2 linked regions of the Alligator mississippiensis genome follow. The protein of the gene in region 2 binds, or shares a complex with, the protein of the main gene of each other region. Links are inferred from orthologs where the notes say so. Each region holds a gene or a part of one and is shown on either strand. Other genes may lie near its edges.

Region 1 (3,744 bases), on a different chromosome or scaffold from region 2:
CAACCTGACTGGTTCTGAGATCATCATGCTGATAAGAAATGAAGCTGCTCCTGATGTGTTTTGATGTAAGAAGTGAATTAAAAAGTATACAAGCTTTTTCATGATGATTGAACCAAATACATCAAGGTTTATTGGGTAGCTATAGAGATAATTAAGTAGTGTGGGGGATGTGATATTCCTTGTGTTTTAATGGAGAAAACCATATCAGTTTGCATAGTCTTTGATGGGAAGTGTAAAACCAGGACAGACTTATTTAAAAGCTTTAAAAAAGAGATTTCTTACAAACTTTCCCTTCACCCTTTCTTCTGGGGACAAGCAACATATAGTTGCAGAAAGATAGCCGTGCAGGGCTTTTCCCCCCTGAAAAGCTCCCAACCAGCAGGGTGGAGAGGACACAACAACTGTGGGAGAAAGGGTGTTGCTTAGACCGTGAATGCGATGAAAACACCGCACAGGTTTCCAGCCTCGAGATCTTCCCTCTGGGCTGGTCCCTAGTTGAACCGAACTTCAGCCAAGAAGGAAATCCCCACAGCTGCCCGGGGCTCCTCAGCTCTACCTCCCCAGTCACTCCACATCCCCCTGCCTGCCAAGCTGTGGATCACTTCCAGCAGGACTTGGAGGGAGTCTGAAGACAAGCTCTATCTTGTGTAGACTGATCCTTGCTCACCCCACTCTTGCCTCCTCATTCTCCTTCCTACTACAATCAATCGCCTGATGCCTATTACTCCAGAGCCCTCCATAAGACCTAATGACGGGCTCCAGGGCTATAAACTGTCCGCACACCTGGCCGTTGTCTGCCTTCCCCACCCTCTCTCCAAACTTGGGGAGTAGAGAAGGCCTCGTCCCTCAACAGGTGTTCGCCCAAAAAACCCAAGCGATTTCCCTGAGGCGGTGTGGAGCCGGGGCAGGAGCCGCGGGCTCTGCTGGCTGGACGCCCCCGCCCGGCCGCCGGCTTTCCCTCCCCCGGGAGCGGCTCCTCACCCCGGCCGGGAAGGGCACAAGGCTGAGGCCGCCCGAGGCGCCAAAGAGAAGATGTTTTTTCCGCCCGGGGACGCAGGAGGGCGGCCGCAAGGTGTCAGCTGCCAGATGACAGCGCTCAGCTACGCACACAAGGGATGGCGGGTGGGAGACGGAGCAGCCGGCGAGGAAACAAGCTGCAGCCGCGCTCCCGGAGCAGGGCACCGCGGGGCTCCGCTCGCCCATTGTTTCAAAGCGCGCCGGGCTCTTCCCGCAGGCTCGAGGCTGAGCTGTGAGGCCCGGAGGACGGTGTGTGCAAGCGGGCAGGGAGCAGCAGCTCTAGCCCGGCTCCCCCTGCCCTGCCCCGCGACCCCGGGGGGACCCCGAGCCGCGGCCCCGCGGGAGCGCACAGCACGGCCCCGCCGCGCCGGGACGAGGAGCGGGAGGAAAGGCGAGAGGCGCAGGAGGCAGCAGCAATGCGGAAACACACAGGGCACGAGACAGACAGGGCAGCCCCCGGAGCGGCCCGCAGCGTTACCCGCGGGCTCAGCCGCGGGCAGGAGAACAGACACGGCAAGCGGGAGGTGCAGGGACTCGCCTGGACAAGTGGATGGACAGACAATACAGACCACTGAAGGACCAAAGACAGGATGCCAGATGCACACAACGCTTAACCCCTGCTTACTGTGGGCTCTTGGGGTAGAAGGGAAGGGTGACATGGCTGAGGTCCTGGATGTCAAAGGCGGTGGGCTCGGCGGAGATCGCCTGCCGCTTGGTCCGCTGCTCGCCCTGCAAGGTGCCGGAGCCCTGCTGCTGCGCCTGCTGCGTGGCGGGCCGGATCACGGAGCGGTACTTGTCCAGCTCGTTCTGCAGCTTCTGGATCAGCTCGTCCTTCTGATCCAACTCCAGCTCCAGCTCGTCGATGAGAGCATCCCGCTGCCTCAGCTCCTCGATCTTCTCCTGCAGCGCGTACTGTAAATCCCGCAAAGTGCCCATGCTCCTCCTCGGCCCGCCGGCTCCTGCCTCGGAGCCTGGCTCGTCCGCTGCGCTCCCGGCAACTTTCCCCCAAGTGGCCGCTGCCTCCCACTTCGGCCAACTTTGCCGATCGCTCCGGATCGACCTGCCGCCGGCAAATGCCGCTCGCCCCTGAAGCACGCCCCCAGCCCCCAGCCGGCAGCCTGCGCCGAGCCGCGCCACGCCGCGCCGCGCCGAGCAGAGCCGCGCCGCGCCGCGCCGCGCCGGGGTGACTTGGCCGCGCTCCGCGCTCGGTTATGGGAGGAGGATTAGAGGCATAATCCGAAAGGGAAACCCAGCGGCGCCACTCCGCTGAAGGCTGGGGCGTGAAAGGTGATTTCGATCTGCCTGCGTCAGGCTAAGACTGGAGAGAGGCACACACTCACCGAGGGGGAGGGGGCACGGAGGAAAGGGGCGTCTGCAGGATGCCGTAGCACATGCACTTTCCCTCTGCCTCTGGCACCGGGGGGGCCGCTCCGGGGCCAGCGCAGCCGAGCCGAGCCGAGCTCCAGCCCGCGGCGGAGGGGCAGACCCTGCCGCTCACAGCTCGGGCTTTCAGGCGAGGCGCAGCATTTCACATGTGCCTGCCTTGCCCCTGGAAACCGGCCACGAACCACGATCTCCGCTGCCCCCACGGTCCTCTTCACACGCCCCCGCTTTGCCTGGGCATCCCCGGCCGGCTTTGCACTCCTGTCTGTTTACTCCTTAAGTCTCCGTCAGGAAAACCAGGCAACAAGCACTGCTAGGGAGCAAAGCCTTCGAGTTCCAGTGATCTGGGGGGAGCTGAAGCCCTAGGGTGCAGACATACACAAGCACAAGCTTTGCTCCTGTGGTGGGAAGCTCAACAGGGCAAGCCCAGCTTCCTCCAACTCTACCCGGTGTGTGGGGAGCAGGGAGGACCTCCTGCCCCACCAAAGGAAAGCCTGGCAGCCCCTGCCCCAGGCACAGTGAAACTCTGGTCTGGAACATAGCACTGGACCCCACAGGCACAGTCCCACCCCTAAAGCCAAAAAGCAGGCATGTCACACATCCTGGTTACAGGGTGCTTCCAAACCAGATGTCATCTTAATGCTACTGAACTGGACCAGTTCTGACAGTAATCACCCAAATAAACACTGCTTGAAGAAAGAACATGGCTAGCTGCTCCCAGGGTGCAAGCCCCAAGTATCTCAATTAGATACATCCGACAACAAAGGCATCAAAATGGCATCTGTACCAAAATCCTGCAGATCCAGATTTACTTAGTTCCTATCTTTCCTATTTCACTAGCTCGGTAGAGAATGAGTATCTTTCTACTTCACCGAACAGTGCAAACCCAACCAAATCCTGGCTGAACACCACTTACAATTCCTTGGTTTTACCAATTTTCAAGAGCCATCATACAATTTCAGTTGTCCCGTAAAAATAAAAAATCCTGTCTGGAAGAGGAATCCTACTTACTCCTGGCAAGTGTTGGTCCCTTTTCCCCTTTGCCTTCCTCCCCTCCCCCATACTGTAATCTAAATAACAAAACACATGCAACTACTTCCAGAGAAAAATCCCTATACTGGTACACTGGTACGCTGGCTTAAACTGCTCCATCCAGGTGCACATTTGGATTTATCAAGCATGATTTATCAAACATGCATGTGCTAGGACGAAGCACTAACATTTGATTTCTACACTTAGGCAATAGAAGGGGCCTGGTCCAGCAACATCCAGGTGCCAAATAAGTGTTTTTCTTATGGCTTGCACAGGATGTGTCAAAGCACAGGTTTTTCTGTTGTAGAAGGG
Region 2 (3,744 bases):
GGAGGACATGGCTGGGTTGTCTTCTGGTGCTAATGCCAGCTATTTTTGGGGAGGGGGGCACTGCTGGGGGGGGGGTCTAGTGCCAGTGCCAGCTATACCGGGGAGGGGGCAATGCTGGGGGGTCCTCTGGTTGTACCTGGGGGGACACTGCTGCGGGGTCTTTTGGTTGCACTTGGGGAAACACTGCTGGGGGGGTCTTCTGGTGCCAGTGCCAGTGATACCTGGGGGGACACTGCTGAGGGGGTCTTTTGGTTACATCTGGGGGGACACTGTTGAGGGGTCTTCCGGTGCCAGTGCGCAGCTATACCTTGGAGGACATGGCTGGGTTGTCTTCTGGTGCCAATGCCAGCTATTTTTTGGGGGGGGGGCACTCCTGAGGGGGGTTTCTAGTGCCAGTGCCAGTGATACCTGGGGGGACACTGCTGAGAGGGTCTTTTGGTTACATCTGGGGGGACACTGTTGAGGAGTCTTCTGGTGCCAGTACGCAACTATACCTTGGAGGACATGGCTGGGTTGTCTTCTGGTGCTAATGCCAGCTATTTTTGGGGAGGGGGGCACTGCTGGGGGGGGTCTAGTGCCAGTGCCAGCTATACCTGGAGGGGCACTGCTGGGGGGTCTGCTGGTGCCAGTGGCAGCCACACCTGGGAGGACTTCTGGTTACACTTAGAGGGACACGGCTGGAGGGGGGGGGGGGTCTCCTGGTGCCGGTGCCAGCTGTACGTGATGGGGTGGGGGGTGCCGTGGTGCGGCGGGGCGGGGCGGGGCGGGGCGGCGCGGCGGGACTACATTACCCAGGCGCCCGGCGCGCACATATAAGCGGGCGCGGAGCGCGGCGGCGGGCGCAGTCAGCATGTGTGCGGGCGGCGCGCGGCGCGGGGCGGGCGGGAGCATGGCAGCGCCGGGTGGCTGCTGAGCAGGTAGGACGGGCATCCTCCCGGTGGCGGGCACGTGGCGGGGAGAGCTCCCCGGGGGATGCTTTGGGCACAGCCCGCTGCCCCTGGTCCTTCTCCTTCCTGCCGCTTCGTCCCTGGGGCTGGTCCAGCTGCCCTGCTGCAGTGGGGGCTGGGGCCCTGGCTGCTCGGGCTGGGCTGGGCTGGGCTGCAGGTGCGGGCTGCACAGGTGGGCTAGGCCCGAGGGCAGGAGACGGGCGGGCGGCCGTGGGCTGAAGCGTCCGGCTCCTCCTGGCAGGGCGAGGGGTGTCGAGGGCTAGATGTGGGGACACGGAAGGAAAAGCAGGAGTGGGATGACACGGGGCGCGTGTAACGGGGACGCGCGGCCGCTGGCGCGAGCGGAGGAGTGTGAGGAAGTCGCTTGTTTATGTGAGCTGAACTTGCTTCCCGGGCAGAGATGTTGGATTCTTGCGAGTCCCCGTCCACGGATCCGGAGCCCGGGCGAGAGACGTGCCGTGTCCTGGGCAGACGGGATCCGCGGCGGAGGCAGGAGCCGAGCTTGGGGGAGATCCAGCAGTCCCTTTCTCAGCCCAATAAATCACTGCGTTTGTATACTGGAAAACCGTTTTAGTTGATTGGGTGGGGGGAAACAAAAAATGCTGCCTGAAGTCAAGTGGTTCTGGATGAGACGGATGTAACTTGCATGTTTTCAGCTCGGCTGTTTCTCCCCCGCCCTGCCTTCAGAAAACAACCCAAGTACATGAGATTTCTTTTTTCAGACCATCTTAAGCTTGAAGGGACTCGGATTTGGGTGAGGCCTGCGCCTCTGCCACGATGGTTTAGGGGGAATGTGTTAGAACTAACTTTTTATAGCTTTTTTTATGCTTGACACGGAGTTATAGGGATGTTTTGTATTATGTAAACACACATGAATGCTATTGGAGAACTTGGCTATAGACGATCATATTCTTTAAATGGTCAAATGCTGGGCAGTTGTAACCACGACCCTCCAAAATATCCACCCACAAGTACTAAATATTTAGTGGTTTCCTGGACTACAATAACTAGACTTAAGGAGGGTAGGGAGGGGGTCGGGGAAGAAATCCAGTGCTTCGCAACTCTCTGCTGTTTTGCATCCTGTTGATAAAAGCCTAATTATTTGCTAGCTACTTTGGACATTTTTGGATTTGGTTGCTTGTTTAAGTCCCGTCCTGTCGTTCCTCTGAACATGTGGAGATATTACATCTGGTCTAATGCAACAGCTTGTGGTCTCCTAGGAGGAAGTGGGGGGGGGGGGGGACTTTCCTGTATAGTACTAAGTATGTAACAGCCAGTTTAGTGGAACAGTACAGGGTTAGGCCTGGCCCCCTGACACAGACACACCGTTCTCATGGCTGCATCAAATAATTTTGCCATCCAGTCCCACAGCCTGGGTATGTGCAGTGGGTTGTGCTGTAGGACAAAGTAGCAAATCAGAAAGACAACGGCCTGTGGACTCCAGATGTGACAGACTTCCTAAAATCTGGCTGCTGGGGCACAGGGAGTCCATTTCCAAATGAAAAGCAGACATGTTGAGATGTGAATTTTGGAGAAGTGAAGGCTTTGCTCAGGGTTGTTCGGTATCCCCTGTCTTCTTCCAACACTGGGCATATCTGTTGTGCCTGGACTGTGCTCACAACCTGCCTGCTCCATGTGTCTTACCCAGGGAGGGGGGATGCACTGTGGCCACTATTAGGGGTCCTGGGCCTTTGCAGTAATTGTTGTGTCTGGGCATACTTGAATGCTTCTGGCCCCTTGCTGGAGGACTATACTACTATGGTCTGGGGGCGGTCAAGACATGCCCTTATTGTTTTTGATAAGGCAGCAGATAAATTTTCTCTCAACAGGTGTGTGCATGGCATGCCTTCCCCAGGAGCCTATGGTTCAAAGCCCTTAATTCTGCACCCTTCTTGTTTTCTTGCTAAGTCCAGAGTGCAAGGGGTGCAAGATGCACCCTTTGAGACTTAACCTGCCTAGGACAAAAGAAATGCACTTCTGTGGATGATGAAATGGGCATTGTCCATTGTTTTGTTTTAAGCACTGCTTTGCTTGAAACTCATCTCAGGGGGTCAGAGTAAATGGTCATCAAGTACGCTGTTCCTGTGTGCTCGGTGGGTAACAATGCTGCATGCTTACAGTGAAGTGCCAGTGGCCTCACACCAGTTGCCTGGCCAATACTGACAATAGCTGTGAGCGCTGCCTTCAGGAGATCTGATATGACACACAGGGCATATTTCTCCGAGCTTCGCTTGTTGTCAAAGGAGATGTGAGCGGAGCGAGTCGGTCAGTGGAAAGCGGCGGTGTGGGCAGGGGTTCTGTATGTGGGTAACTTTGGCATATGCCAAGCAGCAAAGGACAGACTGAGTTGGTGGGGGGGTGCTGGATGAAGTTTGAGAACTGCTTCCTTGTTTTTTCAAAGCAGCCCTCAAATAGGGCCCACCTGGGAATCTGACCTTCTGACATGGTCTTTATTGGATGAATAATCCAGTTTGTTTTTTCTCTTCAATCTGCCATTCCACCGCTGACATTAGACCCGGCCTGTTTACATGAAAGTGTTTTCCGTCTGCTGGTAGTGCAGCAATCGTTAACTCTTGAAATATGGAGCTGTTTGGACCCCTTTTATGCTGGTACTCGGGAGGAAGTCAACAAAACAGTGTGATTAGCTTCAGTTTGCCTTTGAAACATGAGGGAGGAGCCAAAGTGTGGGAAATGGCTTTTTTTTCTCTGTAACCAGCTACTTTTACATACGGTCAGGAGAGGGTGGGGAAGAGAGTTCAGAAATAATTAACACCTTGTCAGTTTGCTTCTTCAAGAA

Evidence for each region.
Region 1: ITPR1 (region 2) and PRKG1 share a complex: the UniProt entries of both Homo sapiens proteins name them as parts of the cGMP kinase signaling complex. The link is inferred for Alligator mississippiensis from reciprocal best matches to the Homo sapiens genes ITPR1 and PRKG1.

The regions. Positions count from the first base shown.
Region 1 is NC_081829.1:65,211,546-65,215,289, forward strand, and holds the start of PRKG1 (cGMP-dependent protein kinase 1), read right to left. Parts: upstream 2,472-3,744; 5' UTR 1,954-2,471; coding exon 1,643-1,953; intron 1-1,642. UniProt on the Homo sapiens protein: Serine/threonine protein kinase that acts as a key mediator of the nitric oxide (NO)/cGMP signaling pathway. GMP binding activates PRKG1, which phosphorylates serines and threonines on many cellular proteins.
Region 2 is NC_081835.1:11,705,879-11,709,622, forward strand, and holds the start of ITPR1 (inositol 1,4,5-trisphosphate receptor type 1), read left to right. Parts: upstream 1-843; 5' UTR 844-917; intron 918-3,744. UniProt on the Homo sapiens protein: Inositol 1,4,5-trisphosphate-gated calcium channel that, upon inositol 1,4,5-trisphosphate binding, mediates calcium release from the endoplasmic reticulum (ER).